3 linked regions of the Diceros bicornis minor genome follow. The protein of the gene in region 3 binds, or shares a complex with, the protein of the main gene of each other region. Links are inferred from orthologs where the notes say so. Each region holds a gene or a part of one and is shown on either strand. Other genes may lie near its edges.

The links.
Region 1: the proteins of CFB (region 3) and CFD are in contact, whole or in part, in a crystal structure (PDB 2XWB), measured with the Homo sapiens proteins. The link is inferred for Diceros bicornis minor from reciprocal best matches to the Homo sapiens genes CFB and CFD. Residues at the interface, in NP_001701.2 of Homo sapiens: Glu298, Ala301, Ser302, Ala332, Asp333, Ile469, Asp470, Glu471, Ser472, Glu518, Tyr519, Lys585, Asp758, Glu759, Asp760; in NP_001919.2 of Homo sapiens: Asn157, His158, Ala159, Gly160, Arg161, Arg162, Arg182, Thr183, Asp186, Arg200, Val228, Cys229, Gly230, Asn231, Arg232, Lys233.
Region 2: the proteins of CFB (region 3) and CFP are in contact, whole or in part, in a crystal structure (PDB 7NOZ), measured with the Homo sapiens proteins. The link is inferred for Diceros bicornis minor from reciprocal best matches to the Homo sapiens genes CFB and CFP. Residues at the interface, in NP_001701.2 of Homo sapiens: Glu54, Gln56, Ser78, Thr316, Tyr317, Leu349, Ser351, Met394; in NP_001138724.1 of Homo sapiens: Arg329, Arg330, Asn331, Lys333, Pro341, Met420, Val421.

What each region holds. Positions count from the first base shown.
Region 1 is NW_026691553.1:446,441-453,866, reverse strand, and holds the start of CFD (complement factor D), read right to left. Parts: upstream 3,003-7,426; 5' UTR 2,979-3,002; coding exon 2,921-2,978; intron 2,386-2,920; coding exon 2,229-2,385; intron 2,130-2,228; coding exon 1,985-2,129; intron 1,539-1,984; coding exon 1,281-1,538; intron 123-1,280; coding exon 1-122. Other genes in the region: ELANE (neutrophil elastase), read right to left, coding at 5,286-5,462, 5,609-5,839, 6,342-6,483, 6,605-6,758, 7,131-7,197; myeloblastin-like, read right to left, coding at 7,246-7,426.
Region 2 is NC_080781.1:41,386,281-41,393,510, forward strand, and holds the start of CFP (properdin), read right to left. Parts: upstream 3,057-7,230; 5' UTR 2,513-3,056; coding exon 2,437-2,512; intron 2,354-2,436; coding exon 2,203-2,353; intron 741-2,202; coding exon 565-740; intron 85-564; coding exon 1-84. UniProt on the Homo sapiens protein: A positive regulator of the alternate pathway (AP) of complement. It binds to and stabilizes the C3- and C5-convertase enzyme complexes. Inhibits CFI-CFH mediated degradation of Complement C3 beta chain (C3b).
Region 3 is NC_080753.1:32,874,038-32,880,981, forward strand, and holds the start of CFB (complement factor B), read right to left. Parts: upstream 3,031-6,944; 5' UTR 2,909-3,030; coding exon 2,845-2,908; intron 2,757-2,844; coding exon 2,523-2,756; intron 2,104-2,522; coding exon 1,918-2,103; intron 1,773-1,917; coding exon 1,599-1,772; intron 1,362-1,598; coding exon 1,260-1,361; intron 1,156-1,259; coding exon 1,019-1,155; intron 469-1,018; coding exon 330-468; intron 1-329. Other genes in the region: complement C2, read right to left, coding at 3,719-3,895, 4,045-4,094, 4,261-4,387, 4,587-4,678, 4,814-4,890, 5,000-5,165, 5,283-5,394, 5,490-5,584 and 1 more.

The sequences.
Region 1 (7,426 bases), on a different chromosome or scaffold from region 3:
GCCGCGTAGCTCGCCACGCGCGTGTAGATGCCGGGCTTTTTGGGGTTGCCGCAGATGCGCGAGCCCGAGGTGACGATGCCCTCGACCACGCCCCCGCACACCAGCGGGCCCCCGGAGTCGCCCTGCGTTGGGGGGCAGTGAGGGGAGGGCCGTCAGGGTGGGCGCAGGGCCCCGCAGGCCCCGTGGCCTCCAGGTCCCGCTCCGGTTCCGCTGCCGCTGCAATTCCGCTCCTCCCTCCAGCCCCAATCTGCTTCCTGGCTCGTCAATCTCCCCAGGCCCCGCCCACCAAGCCCCGCCTCCCGGCCCCGCCCCACCCTCTGTCCCAGGCCTGTCTTGTCTCGGCGTCAACCCGCTCCTCTTACCTTGCGCCACTCCTGACCCTCTCCAGGCTCGGGCCCTGCACCTCATCTGCACCCTCTTCTGTATGGCACCTCTCCTCCCAGCCCTGCCTGACCTCAGGCCAGTCCCTCCCTGGGCCTGTCCCTGTCATTGACCCCCCCATCTCAGCCCCTCATCTTCCTGAGGCCACGCCCACTCATCTAGACCCGTATAACCCGCCCATCTGTTGGCCCCGCCCTCTGCATGTCCCGCTCCTCGCCGGCTCCGCCCCCTCGGTTGGCCCCGCCCCTTTCTGTTGACATGCCCCTTCTGTTGGCCCCGCCCTACACATGCGCTGTTCCTCACCAGCCCCGCCCTCTCAGTGCCCCACCACTCCTGGCCCCGCCCCTCTTGGCCCCGCCCCCTCTGTTGGCTCTGTCCTCGTTCACGTCCTGCCCCTGCCAACCCCAACGCCTTCTGGCCTCGCCCACCCGCGTGCCCCGCCGCACACTCTGTGTGCCCCACCCCTGGCTCGGACCCGCCCCTTCTCTCAGCTCCGCCCCTCTTGGCCCCGCCCATCACGCGTGCCCCACCCCTCTCCTGGCCCGCCCCAAGCCCCGCCCGCCCCGCCCTTCTCTCAGCCCCGCCCCTCTCCGGGCCCCGCCCTCCTCCGCACGCCCCGCCCTTCTCTCGGCCCCGCCCCTCTCTGGGCCCCGCCTTCCTTCGCACGCCCCGCCCTTCTCTCGGCCCCGCCCCTCTCTGGGCCCCGCCTTCCTTCGCACGCCCCGCCCTTCTCTCGGCCCCGCCCCTCTCCGGGCCCCGCCCTCCTCCGCACGCCCCGCCCTTCTCTAGGCCCCATCCCTCTCCGGGCCCCGCCCCTCCCCCCACGCCCCGCCCTTCTCTCGGCCCCGCCCCTCTCCGGGCCCCGCCCTCTTCCCGCACGCCCCGCCCCGCCCGCGCACCTTGCAGGTGTCTCTGCGGTTGCTTTCCGCGCACATCATGCGCTCAGTGATGGTGCCGTCGTGGTAGGTGCGCAGGTTGCAGGTGGCGCGGTCGATCACCCGCAGGAGCAAGTGCTGCAGGCGGTCGGGCCGCCGGCCGGTGTGGCTGACCACGCCCCAGCCGGCCACGTCGCAGAGCGTGCCGGCCGCCACGTCGCGGTCCTCGTGCTGCCAGCGCAGGGGCTGCACCGCGGGGCCCAGCACGGCCTCCTCAGACAGCTGGGGGAGGGGGGCGGCGTCAGGGCCGGGGGCGGTGGGGGCCCCAGCGCAGCAGGAGGGACCGCGGTGAGACTCGGGGGCATGGGGCGGTGGGGGCCCCAGCACAGCAGGAGGCACCGCGGTGAGACTCGGGGGGATGGGGCGGGGGGGTGGCCGGGGTCCCCAGTGCAGCAGGAGGGACCGCGGTGAGACTCGGGGGGATGGGGCGGGGGGCCGGGGTCCCCAGTGCAGCAGGAGGGACCGCGGCTGGACTCGGGGGGATGGGGCGGGGGGGTGGCCGGGGTCCCCAGCACAGCAGGAGGCACCGCGGTGAGACTCGGGGGGATGGGGCGGGGGGCCGGGGTCCCCAGTGCAGCAGGAGGGACCGCGGCTGGACTCGGGGGGATGGGGCGGGCGGGCCGGGGTCCCGGGGGCAGCAAGGGGCGCCGCGGCGGGGCCAGGCCCACCTGCAGCAGGAGGAGGTCGTGGTCGTTGGTGTCCGGCCGGCTGTCCGGGTGCGGCACCGCGCGGAGCACGTCGTACAGGCGCTTCGAGGGCTCGGGCTGCGACAGGGAGTGCGCGCCCAGGAGCACCTGCACCTTCCCGCCGGCCCTGGGGGAGTCCAAGCGGGTCAGAGCCGGTCTCCCCATCCACCCTCCCCCCGGACCCGCACCGGGTCCCCACCCTGTACTCCCGCGCGCCCGCACTCACGCGTCCTCCAGGCAGTGCGCGGCGCTCAGCACCCACTGCGCCGCCACCAGGAAGCCCCCGCACACGTGCTTGCCGGCCACCTGCACCGACGCCATGTAGGGCCGCGCGTGCGCCTCGGCCTCCTGGCCGCGCAGGATCCGGCCGCGGGGCTGCGCCGCTGGGGGCGGCAGGGGGCGCGAGGGCTTCCGGGTGACTGCAGCCCAGCCCTCGGATGCCCCTTCCCCACCCAGGCCGCCCCAGCCCTCAGACCTGAAATTCCATCCCTGGGATCCCCCGCCCAGTCTCAAATCTGGGGGCCAGGGAGGAGTGCCAGAGGAGACAGAGGCAATAGGGCGTGGTGGGGTCTGGAGCCAATTCCCTCCCTACACACCGCCCTAAGGGCTTCAAGTTAAACAGGAGAAGAGTGGGGTGACCAAACCCAACCCTCCCGCCGTGGTTTCACCCCGGACCCCCGTTTCCCACCATAGACCCTCAGACCCTTGTTGTGGGGGGGGGGAGTGCAGGATGCTCATGCATCAGGGTTCTGAGAATTTCTTGACTTTCAGAGCCTTCCGCTCTCATGGACCCTGCCGCTCCTCCTGCCCACCGAATGGGGCTGGGGGACAGTCTTGTTTGGCAGAGGGGGACCCCTGGCTGACCACCCTGCAGGCGGGTGGCCCCCCGGCTATCCCTGCCATCCCAGGTCCACTCACCACATAGGGCCACGCCCAGGAGGACCAGAGCCGCCAGGTGCCCGGTGTGGCCTGCCATGATGCCGCTGTGGCCTCACACTGGCCCAGGCGGGGCCCCGGGGGTGCTTTTATCAGAGCGGAGAGGGGCGGGCGGCTCCCACAAGCCCCATGGTCCGAGGGGCAGCGGCCCAGCAGGGGAAAGGGGAACCTTGTGTCCCGCCCACTCCTGCGGGTTTTCTCCTGGGGGACTTTGCGCCAAGAGTCGTTGGCCCCCGGGGATGCCTCCCGCCTCTGCGCACCCGGCCCAGGGCTGGCCCCAGAGTGGGGAGCAGACCCTCAGGATGGGCAGGGGGCAGAGCCGGACCCACCCCAGCCCCCAGCCCCTGCTCCCCAGGGGGCCCTGAGGTTTCGCAACAGCAGCTAGAGGCCATAGTTTATAAACAACCATTTCCTCATGCGTTCGCTCCTCCCTTTGTTTTCTTCCTCCTCCAACTTGGACAGGAGGTCGGGTGGGGGTGGGAGAAAGGTCGCCTGACACCCTTGTCCCCGTGGCTGTGGCTCTGGGGCCTGACACCCCAACAACAGTATTGGAAAGTTGTCGTGTAGGGGGGCAGCGGGGAAGATGAGGAAATTCAAATGGAAAGTTCAGGGTCCACCTTCAGGTGTGGCTTGATCCAGGCACCTAAAAAATGTCAGGTCTCTGCCTCTGGTTTCTACTTTCCTCCTTGATGGCTTTTCTCCTCACCAGGCTCCCCTACTCTGTCCCCCGGGGCCCCAGACTCAGCCTAGCGGCTCTGTGGGCCTCCTCAAATTCCCCATCACTCCAGCCAGTGTCTCAAGGCCACCTCTAGTTGGCCGAGCTTGGACCGCACACCCCCTCCCAAACCAGGCACTGGGGGCAGGGGATGGCGGGTTCTCATGAGTGGACCCCGGCTCACACAGCCCTCAGTAAGGGGGGGATGCTGGCTCAACCCCTCAGGAACCTACAGGGGAAGGTGCTGGGACCAGCAGGGTCGGGGGACCTCGACGTCCCCAGTGGGAACCGTGCGTGATACTTTCCCCTCTATTTCTTTTCCCTTCCAGGCAGACGATTTCATACACGCAGAGGAAAATAGAAAATAACACAGCAAACGTGATTTCCTAACTAACACGTTTCCTCGTTAAAATCAGAAACTGAACAAACAGCCGTGGGGATGCGGAGTCCGGGTTATGTAAGAGGGGACAATTATGAAATTACAACAAAACCTGGAGGCCACCCAGCGAGACCGGCCGGTTCACTAAACAACCCTGAGTGTCCCCAGATGCCGCTGACGTGGAGAGACCGCCAGGCGCCAAGGTCTGTGGGGGAGGCCATCTCGGGGCAGCGGAGGCCGCTCTGAGCTGCTGGCCCCGGGAGAGGGGGGTCGGCGGACGGCCCGCGGGGACAGGGGGCAGAATGAGGCAAAGACCCCGGGTGGGCCCCGGGCCACGAGCTCCAGCGGGAGGGGTCGGGGCAGGGACGGAGGGGGAGATTCACCTCAAACTCGCGGCACGTGGGGGCGTTATGTGAAGTCACTTCTCTCGTTTTTTGTCTCTGCTTTGGTGGCCCCGCCACCATCAGCCTTCGAGCTGCACGATGGAGATGGTCCCGCCCGTGGCCCCGGCCCAGGGAGGCAGAAGAGGGGCACAGGCCCCCCCAGGGCTGGTTCCATCGGGGCGTGGTTCCCTCGGGAAACGTGCTCTGCCCCTCTTCCCTCATCAGAGCAAAAGTCCAGGGTGGGGGGTGGCTCGTCCCCGTCACCCAGTGCAGCCGAGGCCACCAGGACCCCACCCCAGGCTGTGCCCTTTCCAGACGGCGGTGAAACCGAGGCTCAGAGACAGTGAGCGAGTTGCCCAAAGTCACAGAGCTGGGCGTCAAACTCAGGCTCCCGGGCCCGGCTTCACACCTCTCTGCGCCCCCACTCCCTTGTCTGTGAGGCGGGGGCTCCAAGAGGACCCCCCTCGAGGGCTGGAGGAGTGAGGTCCCCCCAAGACTCAGAACATTCCCGTACCTCGTGAGCACTCAACGAACACCGCCACAGTGCTTTGTCATCACCACCGGCGACACTCGTGTGATCCCATGAAAGTGGGTTTTATGGGGGGGAATCCAGAAATGGTAACCCGAATCCTTTCGTGGAAGGAGGTGGGGAAGGGACTTCTCACGTCAATGCCCCACATTTGCCGCCACCTGGTGGCAGCATACCCCAGAGGTGCCCTGACGACTTTCCACACCCGCTGGCACAACCGACACACAGCCAGACACGTTCTACAAAAGGGAGAGGGTTTTTATTGGGCGAGGTGCCCGGGGACGCGGCGTGGGAAGGGCCTGGCTGGGGCAGGCGAGGCAGGGGCACCCGGGCCGCCCTTCCTAGCGGGCCCCGCTCAGAGGGTCCCCGTGGCGGCGGAGGATGGAGTTGATCCAGCTGGCGAACTGCGCGACGGGGGCGAAGGCGTCGGGGTAGAAGCCAGAGCCGCAGCCTCCGCGGATGAAGGAGTCGATGCCCTGGACCAGCCCGTCGCAGACCAGCGGCCCGCCAGAGTCGCCCTGCGGAGCCCGACAGACGGGGTGGGAGGCTGCGCTGCCCGGGCCCCGCCCCGCTCGGGGTCGGGCAGTCCCTCCCGGGGTCCGGCCGCTGGCCGGGTTGCTGGGGCCGGGCGGGGCTCGGGGTGGGGGACGCGGGGGGCACTCACGAAGCAGATGCCGGCCCGGCGCCGCGGCACCAGCGTGCACACGTTGGAGCGTTGGCACAGGGAGGTCACCACCGTCACGTTGAGCTGCTGCAGGATGCTGGGCAGCCGCCCATTGGTGCCCAGCCGGCCCCAGCCCATGGCCAGGCACTGCGTCCCGTTCCTGGGGCTGCGCCCCTGGGCGGGCAGCTGGGCCACCTGCACGTTGGCATTGATGGTGGCCAACCCGTCGAGCTGGGACAGAGCACGTGAGTGTCACACGGGGCGCGGGCGACGGCCCTCCCCTCCCCGGCCTCAGTTTCCCTGTCTGTAATTGGCAGCAACCACAGTGGCCCGGGGCGCCCCGGACATGACTTGAGTGCTGTAAACAGGAGGTGCTTAATAATGGTGCTATAAACAGTAGGTGCTCAATAAAACAAACCATGGGCAACACTGAGGCCAATAAAACCCTCGTTCTAGAACATTCTCAGAGAAGAATCAGAAGAGTGGGATGGGAGGGTTTCTGCCTTGAGTCTCCCGCTGGCCCGAATGTGGGACTTGTGACAGGGCACGAATAACGGCGTTTGTTGATTGACTATTGCTCAGAGCTCCCGATGTCGTCTCTCACAATCTCTCCGAGGCCCGGCCAGGCGGGGTTTGTCTCCCCGAGTCACAGAGGGGAGACCGAGGCACAGAGAGACGACGTGCCTGTGACAGCTGGGGTCCCCCTGTCCACCCCCCGGCCCCTGGCCCCCACCTGGAGAACCACGATGTCGTTCTGCAGCGTCGTGGGGTCGAAGCCGTTCTCGAAGATCCTCCGGACGCCGAATGTCTGGCGGGTGCGCTCGCGCCGCCGCAGGTTGTGGGCCCCCAGCACCACCTGCACCGACCGGAAGTTGCTGCCGGCAACGGGGGGACAGGGGGTGACTCGGGCGGCCCCGGGGTCGGGGGTCAGCCCGCCCCTCGAGGAGCGAGGACAGACGGGGACACTGAGGGCCGGGGCGGATACGGGGGACTCACCGGCCATTCACGCAGTGCGCGGCCGACAGGACGAAGTCACGGGCGATCAGGGTGGCCCCGCAGAAGTGGCTTCCCCGCTGCAGGGACACCATGAAGGGCCACGCATGGGGCCGGGCCGGCTGGCCACCCACGATCTCCAAGGCCAGTGCAGGGCCTGGGGCACACGGGGGGGCAGGGCCGGTCAGCCACCCGGCTCACACCAGGACCCCAAGGGGTCCAGGCTCTTTGTGCTCACTGCCCAGATGGGGAAACTGAGGCACAGAGACGCAGAGAGGGGGCTGCCATGGTCCCCCAGCCGGGGTGCGGCTAGATTGGGGCTTAACGTGGCTTTGGAGTCCCCAGAGGGCGCCCAGGGACCCCCCGGTTCAAACCCCAGCTCTGGACTCCCACCACTCAGAACCTCAGTCTCTTCCTCTGGAAACATGTCACCTCATCCCAGCCGTCACCTCCCCACGAGGACGAGGGGCCCATGAGAGGCAGGAAGAGACGTCCAGGGACAGACAGACGGACACGCCGCCCCACTCACCGCCCAGCAGCACAGCCAGCAGGATGGGGGCGAGTACAGGGCTGGAGGGTGTGCGGCTGCCAGTCATGGTCGGGCGAGGCTCCGCGTCTCTGCCCCCCGTGCCCGCCGGCCCCTCTTATGGCCCCCACGCCGAGGCCGTTGCCGTTGCCCCACTTCCTGTCCCCCCCGGGGACGTGGAGACGAGGGGGTGACAGCAGGAAGCATGGGAGGAGGTGAGCCGGGGCCGGGGGTCCGGATCAATCTCGGACGCGCCATTCCGTCTGAACGTGGGATTCGCCGGTTTTAGTGCAAGTCCG
Region 2 (7,230 bases), on a different chromosome or scaffold from region 3:
ATGCTCGACGACGGGTCCGGGTCCCTTTGGAGCAGGTAACAGAGCAAGGCGCCCAGGGCCCCCAGTCGGACCAGCCACCTATCTCTGTGGAAGAGAAGAGAGGGGGACAGGATGGAGGTGGGGCTGTCATTCAGGAGTCCTTGCTTCCTCATGAACCCTACATAAGTCAATCCTGTTTCCATATCCTCTGCCACACTTGGCCCACCATCATTGCTCATCTGGACTATTGCAGTAGCCTTCACACCGGTCCCCCTGCTTCACCCCTCACCACATGCAGGCTGTCCTCCTCCTGACAGCGAGAGAGATCTGTCACAACCCAAGTCAGATCACGGTTCTCCTCTGCCCACAGCCCACACCCCTCAGAATAAAAGCCAACATCCTCACCATGGCCCACAGGGATCAGGCCCCCTCTGACTTCACCTCCCACCACTCTCCTCCAGCCACACCAGCCTCCTCCTTAGTACCTCATGAATCAGGCACAGTCCCACCCTAAGGGCCTCTGTCCTGATCATTCCCAGTGCTGGCTAATGGGCAGTGCTTGTCCACTTTGCTGATCCTCCTCACCAGGACAGCATGGCTGTTCCTCACAGGCTTGCAGCTGCCACTCGAGGGTTCCAGGTGCCACCTTCTCAGAGCACTGCCCGCCCCAGCCTATGCAGCGCCGGTGCCGCAGCTGGGAGCCCTCAGCACAGGTAACTGAGCAGGGGGCCCACGCAGACCACGGTGACCATCGTGGGTACCTGCAAAGAAGAGCATGTCTCCCATCCTGGCACGAGCTGACAAGGATGGTGTACAGCATTGCACGGTGTGGGCAGGCCCAGGCACGGGTGTGGGATAAATGTATGTGGAATAGATTGATGAGAGCACCTACCTCTTAGGGATGTTGGGGGATTGAATGGGAAGAGGTGGGTACACAATAAGTGCTTAATAAATGCCATTTACCTTCATGATCAGGGATCTAAAGTTACCCTTTGAAGACCCCCAAGGACACTGCCAGGCATGCAGTAAGCAAATGTAAGGACTAGGGATCCAGAACAGCTGTCAGAAACCCACCAGGCCACCATTGTGGACGGTAGCAGGCAAACAGGAAGTGCTTAATAAATAGGAGCCATCATCCCAATGAGCTCAGAGACCCTGTCAGAAATACCCCAGATCTATTCCCAACTCCCTGCACAGCATAACGCTAAATAGATGTGAACTGTTGACAGGACCAGGGGCCCAGAACTGCCTTCGCAAATCCCCGAGCTCCCCATCCCCATGGTGTATCTAGACTATACAGTAAGCAGCTAAAAATATGTCTGGCAGGAGCCAGCCCCGCGGCGTAGCGGTTAGGTTCGCGCACTCCGCTTTGGTGGCCTGGGGTTTGCAGGTTCAGATCCCAGGCGCAGACCTACGCACTGCTTATCAAGCCATGCTCTGGCGGCGTCCCATATAAAGTAGAGGAAGATGGGAAGATGGGCACGGATGTTAGCCCAGGGCCAAACTTCCTCAGCAAAAAGAGGAGGTTTGGCAACAGATGTTAGCTCAGGGCTAACCTTCCTCACAAAAAAAAAAAATGTCTGGCATACAGTAAAGGCTCAATGCATGTAAGCTGGTGTCATGATTAGGAGACTAGAGCTACCCTCAGAAATCCTCCAGCTACCCTCGACCTCTGCAATGCATCTGGTGTGCCAGAAGTCCTCAATGAATGTGAAGTGTCATCATAATTAGGGGCCTGGAGCTGCCCTCAGAATTCCCCAAACTCCCACCCCCACAGTGCATCTGTATACAGTAAGCACTCAATATGAGCTGTCATCACAATTAGGAGACTTGAGTTACCTTCAGAAATACCTGAGCTGCACCCCACCCACAATGCTTCCAGTATGCAGGAAGTGCTCAATAAATGTAAACCATGGCAGTGGTTCTCAGCCAGGGGTGATTTTGCTCCCAGGGGACATTCGGCAATGTCTGGAGAAATTTTGGTTGTTGCAACTGGCAGGGGCAGTTGCTACTGGCATCTAGTGGGAGGGATGCTATGAAATACCCCGCGATGCACAGGTCAGCCTCCCACAACAAAGAATTTTCTGGCCCCAATTATCAATAGAACCGAGGCTGAGAAATCCCGAGCTATGGTCATATTCAGGGCCTTGGAGCCACCCTTGGAAAACCCAGAGAAGGAATGAGCCCAGTTCTGCCTCCCCACAACCCCAGGCTCCCCCTAACCTGCATGCCTGACAGAGCTTCCTGCCGGGCTCCTGGAAGGCATAGGCAGCGTTGAGACAGCAGTCTTCCACACTAACACCTCCCCCCAGGAGGCCCTTGCACTTGCCTGAGGATTCCTCATACTGGGTGAAGCAGAGTACGGGGTCTGAGCCTGTAACATGGCGGGGGGGGGCATGGTCAGGAGTGTGGTGGGCCCGGGCACCTCGGGGCCCAGCTGGGTCCTCCCCCACTCACCTGTGGCTGGCAGAGTGAGAAGCAGCAGCAGCAGAGGCAGCAGCAGCAACCGAGGGGCCTGCGCCAGGGCAGGCATGCTGAGCCCTGCACCCTGCAGCTCCGCCAGAGAGGAGGCCTGGCTTTCTGCAGGCTGACCGGCTCCCAGAGTCAGCGGGAAAGAGGAACCATGGGCAGGAGGAACTGGGAGGGCGAAGGGCAGCACGGGGGAGGGGAGGGCATCATGCAGGTCTCTTCAGCTCCAACCTTTCCCCTGTCACCTCTCCTCTGAGCCTCCTCCTCTACTCTCCCCTTCCTACTTCCTGTCTCGCTCTTGATCCTGTTTTGTTTGTCACTGTATCCCCAGCACCCCAGGCCCTGCCCAGCAACCCTTTAGCACTCAATCAATGCTCCTTGGACAAATTCTCACTGAGGGGAAATGTAGCATAGGAGTTTGGAGCAAGATGAGCTTCCTAGCTGTGTGACCTTAGGCAAGTCACTTGAACTTCTCTGAGCCTGTTTCTCCACCTCTAAGATGCATAATCTCCACCCCAACGACAGGGTCAACCTCACAGGGGCATTGAACAAGGGTGAAATGAGTGTGGCGTGCTCAGTATGCCTCCTCACGGGGTGGAGCAGGCATTGAGGTAATTGCTTCATCCCCCATCCTGACTTGCCCACTGCCTTGCCCTCCTCTTTCCTGAAAGCGAGGTTTCCTGTGGTCAGCATGGGGAAGGGAGGTCAGCACAAGGGAAGTGAGAAGGGGAAGTGGCAAGAGTGTGGGGAGGATTCAGGAGGAGTGAGTTGGGGATATCCACTGTCCCAGGGGCCCAGCCGGGGACACCTTCAGGGCCTGGGGAGGGGTGGTTGGCAGGGAACTGGCTTGGCCATGTTCCATCAGAGTAACTTGGGTAGGTGACACCTCCCTCCCTGAACTTACATCATAGGGTTTGTTGCAAAGATTGGGAGTAAAGATTTTAAAAAGTCCTTAGCACAGTGCCTGGCATACAGTACATGCTCTGTGTTTGTTACATAAATTTATTCAATATTTATTGGGCACCCATCGGGTGCCAGATGCTGTTCTTAGCATTGGACGGAACAGAGAACAAGACGGCCAAAAATCCTGGCCCTCAAAGGGCTTGCGCTCTGAAAGTGGAGACAGACAATAACTGTCACCTCCCTCACAGAGGTTGTCCCTAGCTACCCTTTATGTACGGCACCCCTGTCGCTCTCTAGGTCAGTGGCTCTCACATCTTAGCATACATCAGAATCATCTGGAAGGTTTCTTAAATCACAGATTGCTGGGCCCCACCCCCGTTTCTGATTCTATAAGTCTGTGGTGGGGCTCAAGAATGTGCACTTCTTTTGGGCCGGCCCCGTGGCTTAGCGGCTAAGTGTGCGCGCTCCGCTGCTGGCGGCCCAGGTTCGGATCCCGGGCGTGCACCGACGCACCGCTTCTCCAGCCATGCTGAGGCTGCGTCCCACATACAGCAACTAGAAGGATGTGCAACTATGACATACAACCATCTACTGGGGCTTTGGGGGAAAAATAAAAAATAAATAAAATTATAAAAAAAAAAAAAAAGAATGTGCACTTCTAACAGGCTCCCAGGTGACACGGAAGCTGCTGGTCTGGGGACCACACTTTAAGAACCATCATTCTAGTCCCTGACCCCTCTTTTTCTTTGTAGGTCTCATCTACAAAAACTATTCTACATGCTCCTTATTTTACTGTTAATAATTAATTCCTCTTCAGCTCATTTTCCATGCAGGTAAAACTGAGTTCCACGACCCCCTCTTTTTTTTTTCATAAGCCCTAATGAGTGAAACTCTAGAGCCTGCTTTAAAAACAGAAAGCTTTTTAACAAAAAGGAGTCTAAGAAAGTTAGGAAGGCAAGGTCTCATTTCTCTTGCATTCATGGAGGGAGAAATACCATTCTGCAAATTAAAGTAAAAGAATTTGATTTGGTCAGGTGTTAAAACAGAACTTTCTCAAGAACATTGGTCTTGTTTTATGGGTGATAAGGCGTGTTGACATTCATATCCATTACAGACGTACTCTGTTTCCTGATAATATAGCCTGTCTTTGCAAGTGTGCTTTGAACAAAAGGGTCTTGTTAAGATTCTAAGACTTCAGACATCAGTGCTGCGTTATCCTGTGAAAACAAACTCCCAAGAAACCTGTAATTCTGGTTGGTTGCTTTATCTATCACCCGTTGCCCAGGTAATAATGCTATAATCGATATTTCCTTTGTTCCTAAACTGTATAAATACTCATAGGATTCCTGTGGAAGAGGACTGTCGGCGTTTTCATCTGCTCCCACACGTTTGGGCAATAAAACGACTCTGCAGATTTCTTATTTAAACAAAGAGTGAGAGAGTCTTGTCTCATGTAATTATTGCACCACCACCTGACATGATGTATTTGTTTCTTGTCCAACGTCTTCACTAAAATACCAGCTCTAAAGGCAGGGGTTTCTGTCTGGTTTGTTAACCACTGTGTCTGCAGGGCTCAGCAAACATCTGCTGAATGACTAAATAAACGAAGTAAACAAAACTTAGAGATTCTGGGTAAGTGCTAACAGGAACAGTCTGGGTTGGAGGTAAAAATGTGGGCGTCACCAGGGGAGTCGGGTCTCAGGTGCCAGGACTGGGGCAGACTGCCTGAAGGGGGCTTGTGAGAAGAGGGAAGGGAACCCCAGGCAAAGCCCCGGGGAACTTCAGCATTTCAAGTTTTGGAGAACTGGGAGAAGCCAGCCCAGGGGATTGAGGAGGAGGGATCTGTGGAGGAAGAGAACAAACAGAAGAGGGCTCTCCCCTAGGCCTGGCACATTCCATTCGTGGTCTCTCATACAGTCTCATTTGGTCTCAGTCATTTTCCTTCACTTTTTAAAAAACATAGTTACACACATAGTTCTGGATTTCCAGCCTCAACTATAGTCTGTTACAAACAGGCTCATATACATACTCGATCACACAGCCTCTCAGACATCCTCAGCCACTCACTCAGGGAGTCATTGATTCCCAGTCTTACTATCGTCTCCTACTAACACTCTCTCTCTCTCTCTCTCTCTCTCTCTCTCTCTCTCTCTCTCTCTCTCTCTCACACACACACACACACACACACACACACACACAATCACGTCTCATAGGCTGTCTCATTCGGCAAATATCACCACGATTTACTTTTACCAGTTTTTCACGTGCACACAAACCAGTCACACCTTTTGATAAGATGTTTCAACCATTCACACAGGCCATAATTTTCTCACATCCACAAATAGTCACTGATTTACAGCCACTAGTCTCTCATGAAGTTTCTTGTACACATACAAAATCTTCTCTCGCACCTCTTCACAATCAAGCCCCTATTTCACACACCCACAGTCCGATTATAGCTGAGTTGCACACACAAACACAATCACAATACCTCAGACATTGTCCTAGTCACCACCTAGTCTCACACTTCTCAAGCAGTTTCTAACATACCCAGTCCTTTATTTACAGCCTTTAATCAAGTCCCACGCGAAGAGTTTTACACATACTCACACAATCACTTTTACAGATACTGTCTCAGTCACCCATTCGGTGTCACAGTCACTTTCCCTCAGTCAGCTTCTGACATGTGTAGTCACTAATTCACAATCACTACTAGGCTCTCATTAAGTCTCACACACACAGTCTCTCAGGGCCTATCTCAGTTATTCACATCATCTTCTTCTTCATACAGTCAGCTTATCACGTACACTCAAACACAATTACAGCCTTGCTGGTTTCTCCCACACACCAATCACATGGTCTCTCAGTGTCTCATTTTCTGTTTTTCACAAATACATAGTCTCCAATTTATAATCTCTTATGAAATGTTTCGCAGACCCACATACTCTTAAACTCTGCTCAGTCGTCAATTTTCTCTCACGCAGCGCTGACGTTATTCTTACTTATCGTCTCTCGCTCAGTTATGTGGTACCACTTCACTCAGACTCACCATCATTTTCTCTCACACTTTCACAGTCCCTGAACCTGTGGGCTAGACTAGTCACTGTAAATCAATTTGCCACTAGTCTCTGGTACACACACAATTACAGCCTCTCATGCTCTCCCAGTCATAGCCGTTTTTTCCCAGTTTCTTACACAGTCTTTGCCAGTCTCGCGTGAACAGTTTTCAAACACACAATCCCGCATTCATGTATCTTGTGTCTCAGGCACCCATTTTCTCTCAATCAACTTCTCACACATAAGCCCCATTACTCTAGTTGATACGACAGCCTTGCACGAACAGTTTCACACACAATCTATCTCCCAAACACTGAGTACCTGCTTACATACAGTGAACTCTTTCACCGACACACAGTCCTTGACAATCTCTACCACACTTTCATGCCCATATAGGCTCTCACACATTGTTTTGATCACTCAGTCTGTCTGGCTCACCATCAGTCTGTCAAACAGAGACTGATGTGCAGCCCCCACTGCCTTCTCATAAACATTATTTCACACACACCACCGGTTTCTTGTATACTGCCTTAATCACTCATTCAGTCTGACAGTGATTTTCTGACACACAGCCACAATGTCAAGTTTGTGGTCACAACTTTCACTTTCTCACACAGTTTCGCACATATATACATGCGATCACAGCTTTCCACAGTTTCTCTCTTTTTCACACACCTGGTTACCAATCTTCAGTCTCTAATACTATTTCTGACACACACCATCATGCTGTCTCTTTCACAATCAACCTCACACCCTCACCGCCTTCCACACAAAGTCATGCCTGTCACACTCAGTCCCAACAGCTTCAGGGAAAAAATGCTA
Region 3 (6,944 bases):
AAGGGAAAACATCATCACCTCACCCAGTCTTTCAAGCCATCCCAGAACACCAGAGGCCTATCAGCAACTGAGATCCTACATCTTTCAACTTTTTAAGTTGATCATCACTCCACTGACTTCCCTTTGACCACAAAGTGACCCTCTCCGCCCCAACGGGTTCCCACTAACTGCCATTCTCCCGTGACCCTGCTGTCCAACCACGGACTTCAAAGTGGTCCTCCCTGCCCGCACACATGGTCTCACTACCTGCTTCCCACAACACCCCTGAACCTTCTGGCCTCTCTGACCCCAAAGTGAACCTGCTACCATTCCCTTCCCTGACCTCTGACCTTCGTAGCTGATTTCATTGAGCTTCTCTGTGACCCAGTCTGCATCGCTGCTCTTGTCTTCGGACACTCTGATCAAAATCTTGGGGACTGTGGCATATGTCACTAGACCATATTTTGGCTTCACCCCATAACTTGCCACCTGTGGGTGAGAGGAGCAAGGAGTCATGGCATTGAGAGTAGAATACTATATTTGGGAGAATTCAGCAGCTTTGCTGGGACAGGGATGGTCATAGTAAGAGACTGAAGGGCTGGTGCTGGCCCTGTGGCATAGCGGTTAGGTGCGTGCGTTCCGTTGCTGGCGGCCCAGGTTCGGATCCCGGGCTTGCACCGACGCACCGCTTGTCAGGCCACGCTGTGGCGGTGTCCCATATAAAGTGGAGGAAGATAGGCACAGATGTTAGCTCAGGGCCAGTCTTCCTCAGAAAAAAGAGAAGGATTGGCATGGATGTTAGCTCAGGGCTGATCTTCCTTACACACACACACAAAAAAAAGACTGAAGGGCTGACTGGTTACCTTAAGGTTCATGGAGGAGTGTGGGTTAAAGGTCAAGAAACTGCTTCAAGTAAAAGAGCAGGACAGAATAGGACCTGGAGATTTTCATCAGAGGGCCTGGGAGCACAAGGGAGCTAGTCCTGGTAGGGCAATAAGGTCCATTCAGGGTCCCCACATCCAAAGGGCAGGGGTTCCACCTTCTCAATGAAGTCTCTGAGACAATTCTTGGCCCCTGTGAAGTTGTGGGCCCCAACGCTGTCTGATCCATCCAGCACCATGTAGATGTTCATGGAGCCTGAGGGGTCCAGGACAATCTTCCTCTTCTGTTGTTCCCCTGGGTGCCACCAGAGAGACTCAGGCTCCAGCATGCATAGTCCTCCTGCCCCTTCTCCATCCTCCTCCAATTCCCTGCCCTGCCTCCCCTCTCTGCCTTCAAACCTGGGCTGTGCCCATCCTCGGCATCGACTCCTTCTATGGTCTCTGTCAGGGAAGACAGGAAGGCTTCGGCCACCTCTGCAGGGGTGTCGTACATAAAGGAGTCTGGGAGAGGTCAGAAATCAGGTCAAATATCTGGGAACGTCGGGGATACAGTGACCAGAGAGGCAGAGGATGCTGGGTTTCCAGGGTGGGAAGGGCTCAGAAGTGAGGAAGTTCTACAGGGAGGTTTAGAAGTGAGGAAAGAGCTGAGTTGTGGTAGGGGGAGAAGACACTGCCATGGTGTGGGAACCTGAGGATGGGAGAGCAGGTTCTGACCTGAGGGCACAGGTCAAGGGTCACCTTGGCAGGAAGGCTCCGTTCCACTCCAAGAGCCACCTTCCTGGCATGTTCGCCTCTGGGAGCCACGTAGGGTGAGCCCCCGGCTGCAGTAGTAGGTGACACTGTCTTCGAGGCGGTACTGGCTGCCCACCTTCCTTGTGCCAAGGGGGATGCCTGGGTTGGGGCAGTACGCCGCTGCAGAGGCATGAGACATGAAGATGAGCACCAAAGCCTGAGGCCCAGAGGGCAAAGTAGAGCACAAGAGCTATGGTGCCTGTTCCTCAGGCTGGAGCGCGGTCATGGAGAGGGTACTGTTGTTGGGGGATGGGATGCTTCTCACCTCCATCATCGCAGATGGCCGTTTGCCCATCCCACCGACCAGTCTCTTGGCAGGTGCGATTGGCAGAGCCCCGGAGAGTGTAACCATCATAGCAGCGGAAGGAGATCTCATCACTCAAATTGTAGTAGGGGGCCCGGGGCCAGTACTCCCCATTCTCAAAGTCCTGTGGTCTTGGGCAGCGAATTGCTTTGGGGGAGGGGGACAAGTAGAAGTTACTGAGAGGGAAGGGCTGCCCTTTAGGGTATCTCTGCTGGTCTCAGGGACCGTGTCAGTGAGAAACACTGTCTTCTTGGTCCCACAGGAGCAGAGTCTACCCTCAACCCTTGGAGAGTCCCTCAACCCATGGGGAGTCCCACTGCTCCTCTCTCCCCATTTCTGAGTGTTCCATTAACTGCCAGGGCTGCCTGGCACAGGGCGAATGCTTAGTAAAAGTTAGCTCCTTTCCTCCTCCCTCCTTCCCACCTCCAGCCCTAGACAGCTCCTACTCTTGCTCAGCCCAATTTGTCTGCCTGCCTGGTCTCAATGCAACTCTAATCTCATCCTTGTATGGCTGCCACCTGCTCTGTCCCTCTGCTGGCCCATGCCCACCCTCACCACCCTCCAACCTCTGCATTCTGCCTTCTTGACAATCTTTTGGTCTTGGGTCTTCAGGGTGCTCCAGGAGCCCGTGGATCTGCAGGTGCGAGTTTGCATAGGGTACGGGTAGAAGCCAGCGGGACACATGTACTCCAGTGCCTGGCCCTCCTTGAGAAGCCGGAAGGAGCCGCCTTTGATCTCTACTCCCTCCAGAGAGCAGGAGTCTTGGGGTTCGGCCACAGGCAATGGTGTCGTGCTCACATCTAAAGAAAAAGGCTGATGAAACCTAGCCTCACAAGGCCAAGGAGGGATGCCAGGGGCAGAAGGAGGGGGACAGTGACTCTCACTTACCTCCAAACAAGAGGCCCAGGACCAAGGGTACCAAGCAGAATTGGGGGCTGAGATTGCTCCCCATGGCGATGGAAGGCAGGAGAGAAGCTGGGACTGGGGGCAGGATGGCCTATCCCGCTTGCACTGCGTGTCTGCTTGGCTCAGTGTCCAAGCTGAAACTCCACACCCAGGCCTGCTTGCACTCCCTTCCCCTGCCCCCCACAACCTCTAGCCTTTTATGCAATCTGTATTCTGGCACCTGCAGCTCACCCCACCCGCCCTACCCACATCACTTTCCGGAATGTCCAAGCGGGAGGGCCCCCACTGAGCCACCAGTCAAGGAAATAGAAACTGCACAAGCCCCACCCTTTGCTGCCCAGGGTCCGGGACTCTCCCCTTCAACACCTCCTCTCAGCCCCAGTTCCCCCCCAATAAGCCCAGACCGCCCTCTTAGTGACCAGAAATAAGGCCCCAGCTCGCTCCTCTGTTGACTCGGTTATGGAGCAGAGTCCAGCCACTGTTTGTCCAGCAGGGTCTCTGACCTGCCTTCCTGCAGTTCCTGGAATCATTCCGGCCTTCCCCTCCCCTGAAGGCAGCCCCCAGGCAGAGGCACGGACAGATGTGGAAATCACTGATTTTTATTAATTTCATAACTGGGAAATTCCATGTGAAAGTGAAAGGAGAGTGAGCCAAGTAAAGCAGAGGGTGGGATGGGCACTGGCAGGAGCCCTGGGGATTCCCCAGCTCAAATATGCTGCTTCGGGATCCTGGAGGCTGGGGTTTACTGAGAGTTGGGAGTGAGAATAGGGCATGGGGTCTGAGGGTGGAAGTTCAGAGGTAGGAGATGGGAGAGATGGCAGATGCTGGCAGGACCGCAAAAGGGTTGTGGCCATGATTAGAGGGGCAAAAAGTTCAGTACGCCTTCCAGGTGCTGCCTGAGCCAGGGCTGCAGGCGGAAGAGATTGATGTGGAAATCTCTTGGCGGTGGGACCCTGCCAGGGGGGGCCCTTTTGCGGGCTTTTTTATCGGTGCTGCCGCAGGGGTTGTAGAGACCCCAGCTCACCAGGCCCACCTGGAAGAAAGAGAGAATGGGGTGGGAGGCTGCCACAGCCCCAGCTCCAAGCCCTAACCTCCCTGGTTCCTTCAAAGTCCTCCCTCATCCCTCTACAAGGCCAAAATCCTGTAACCCCCATCTCGCGAGCTTCTCTCTTCTCGCCTCACCTGAAAAAACCTGAATCTCCGCTCGAGGAAAACTGCTCCCCCAGATTCTCCTGCCAGAAAGGAGAGACAAAAGACTGTCATCCTGACTCTCGCCCTGCTCCCCTGTCATCCAGGCAGTGCACCGGTGTCCTGGTGTGCATGCTGGCCATGGGACATGGATAGCCATCCCCTCAAGAATCCAGGCTCTGGGATGGGGTGTGGGTGAGAGGGGCTCACCCTTGCAGGGATTGTCATCCTTCTCGGTCCCACTGCATAGGAACTGGTCTGTCACCACCTCTCCAACATCTGTCAGGTTGGGGAATGTGGTCTTGTCTTGGGAGACGACCTTGATACAGTTTGCCCACTGCAGTAGGGGTGGAACAGGAGAGAAGGATGGAATGAGAAAGCCCAGGGGATACCTGGTGTGCAGCTAGGCCTGGGAGGAGGGGCAACTCGGGGTGACGTGGAGAACACAGCCAGAGCTAGAAGAGGAAGAGAGATGTTCTGGGAACTGCCACAGGGGAATCCCATCCCCCACCGCGTCCCGGACCTGAGACCCTCACCTCTGTCCCTGTCTTAAGGTTAATGTTCAGTCTGCTCCCATTCAAGGCCACAAAATGAGCAGGAATGCTCTGTTGGTTCAGAAGTTCAAGCTCTGCAGTCAAAGAGAAGGGGATGTGGTGCTGGTCCCTTTATCCAGACTCTAGACTTGGGGATGGCAGCACAGCCCATGTCATCACCCCCAAGTCGTGGTCCCAGCTCCTCATGCACCCGAAGCCCCAGCACTCACCGTGGGTTTGGCAGCTGCTACCTGGCGGTCTCCGCAGAGCCAGGTTGGCCCCCACTGTACAGGGAAGGCAGATGGGCCTGGAAAGAAGGGCAAGGGTCACACAGGCCTGTCTTCAGTGACCCCTCTTCCGGAGCTCCGCAGAGCACTCTCCCCTGGAGGGCGCCCTCCCATCCCAGACTCCAGCACCTGGCATGAGTGGACATCTCCACTTTCTTGGCCAGCTTCAGCAGGGCGATGTCATCCCCATAGAACTCTGGAATTCCCTGATTCTTCTTGGCATAGACATCGAACCCCGAGGAGATCACTGCCTTCTCAATCTCAAAGTCTTTGCCCCACTTGGAGTTGGGATCCCCTGGGAACAATATGGCGGATTAGGCTGGGCCAGGGTTCCTGAAGAGGCCAGATGCTAGGGACAAGGGTTGGGAGCTCTGGCCATGGAGTCGGGAACCTGGTGCGGGCCCTGTCTTACCCACATTGACCCTCCACAGAGTACGGTCCTCAGCTTGGCGGAAGCAGTGAGCAGCTGTCAGGACCCACTGGTCAGAGATGAGGGCCCCCCGGCAGGTCTCCTGGCTCTTGGGCTGCAGGGGGACAGGTAATCTTCAGGGACTGCTGTGTCTCTGGCCCATGGCTGCTTTCACCTCTGGATCCAAGCCCCATCCCTGCTTCCTCATACCTTAATAGTGACATGCCAGGGTGTCCTCTCCTGGGCGGAAGCATTGGCTGACATGTTCCCCACCCCACAGATAGTGTCTGTGAGCCGAGAGACATCTGTGGGTGTGAGGAGCAGATGCAGAAGGAGGCAGGTGAGGAACACTGTGAGCAGGTTCCCAACCTGGACCCCTGGCTGCTCCTCACTGCCCACCCCATTCCAGAGAGGGCAAAGCTCACTCACCCAGCATGTGCTCAAAGACCTGGCTCAGAGCCTCTGCATCCTGCAGAATGAACGCATGCCTCTCGCCATCCTTCTTGGACCCCAGCTCGTTCAATTCTCTCCAGTCCACATCCAGGTTGCCCACCCCAATGGCATAGATGTCTGATGGAGAGAGGGAAATCACCAGAATCTCAGGGCTGACAGGCTACCCCATGAAACAGGAGACTGTAAGTCGGAACACTTTGTGTCCTACAGAGCCCTACATGAACTGGACCCCCACCCCCTGCTACCTATCTGATCTCATTTCCTACCACTTCTTGCCCTTCACTCTCTTCCAGTCACATAGCCTCCTTGAAGTTCCTCAAATTTGCAGGCACACTCCCACCTCAGGCCCTTTGCATGAGCTGCACCTCTGCCTGGTTCACTCTTCCCTCCGACTTCCCACATGGCTCACTTTCTTACCTTTTTAAGTCTTGACTCAAATGTCACCATCTCAGCAAGGCCTTCCCTCGCCTCCTTGTCTAAAACTGCAGTGCCCCAGACACTTCCATTCCCTCCCTGCTTCATTTTATACCTTAGCACATGTCACTGTCTACTGTGCCATATGGTTTCCTTATTTATCTTGTTTAATGCCTATAAAATGTGTCCCCCAAAAGGATATGTTCAAGTCCTAACACCTGGTACCTGTGAATGTGACCTTATTTGGAAATAGGGTCTTTTCAGATGTAATAAAGTTAAGACGAGGTCATACTGGATTAGGGTAGACCCTAATCTGATGCTTGGTGTCCTTATAAGTAGAAGGGAATCGGACACAGACACACAGAGAGACCATGTGACGACACAGAGATATACTCAGTGAAGAAGGTGATGTGAATACAGAGGCAGAGACACAGCAGTCCCTGAGTCAACCTGCTACAAGCCAAGAAAAGCCTGGGACCACCAGAGGCTGGAAGAGGCAAGGAAGGATTCTTCCCTAGAGCCTCCAGAGGGAGCATGGCCATGCTGATACCTTGATTTTGGACTTCTGGCCTCCTGAACGTGAGAAAATAAATTTCTGTTGCTTTAAGCCACCCATGTTTGTATAACTTGTTGCAGCAGCCCTAGGAAATAATATGTTGCCCCCTCCAGAATGACATCACTATGCAAGGAGGTATTTTTGTCTCTTCTATTCACAGTTGTATCCTTAGAACGGTGTCCTTTCCTGGGCCAGGCACTTACTTACTTACTTACTTACTTACTTACTTACTTACTTACTTA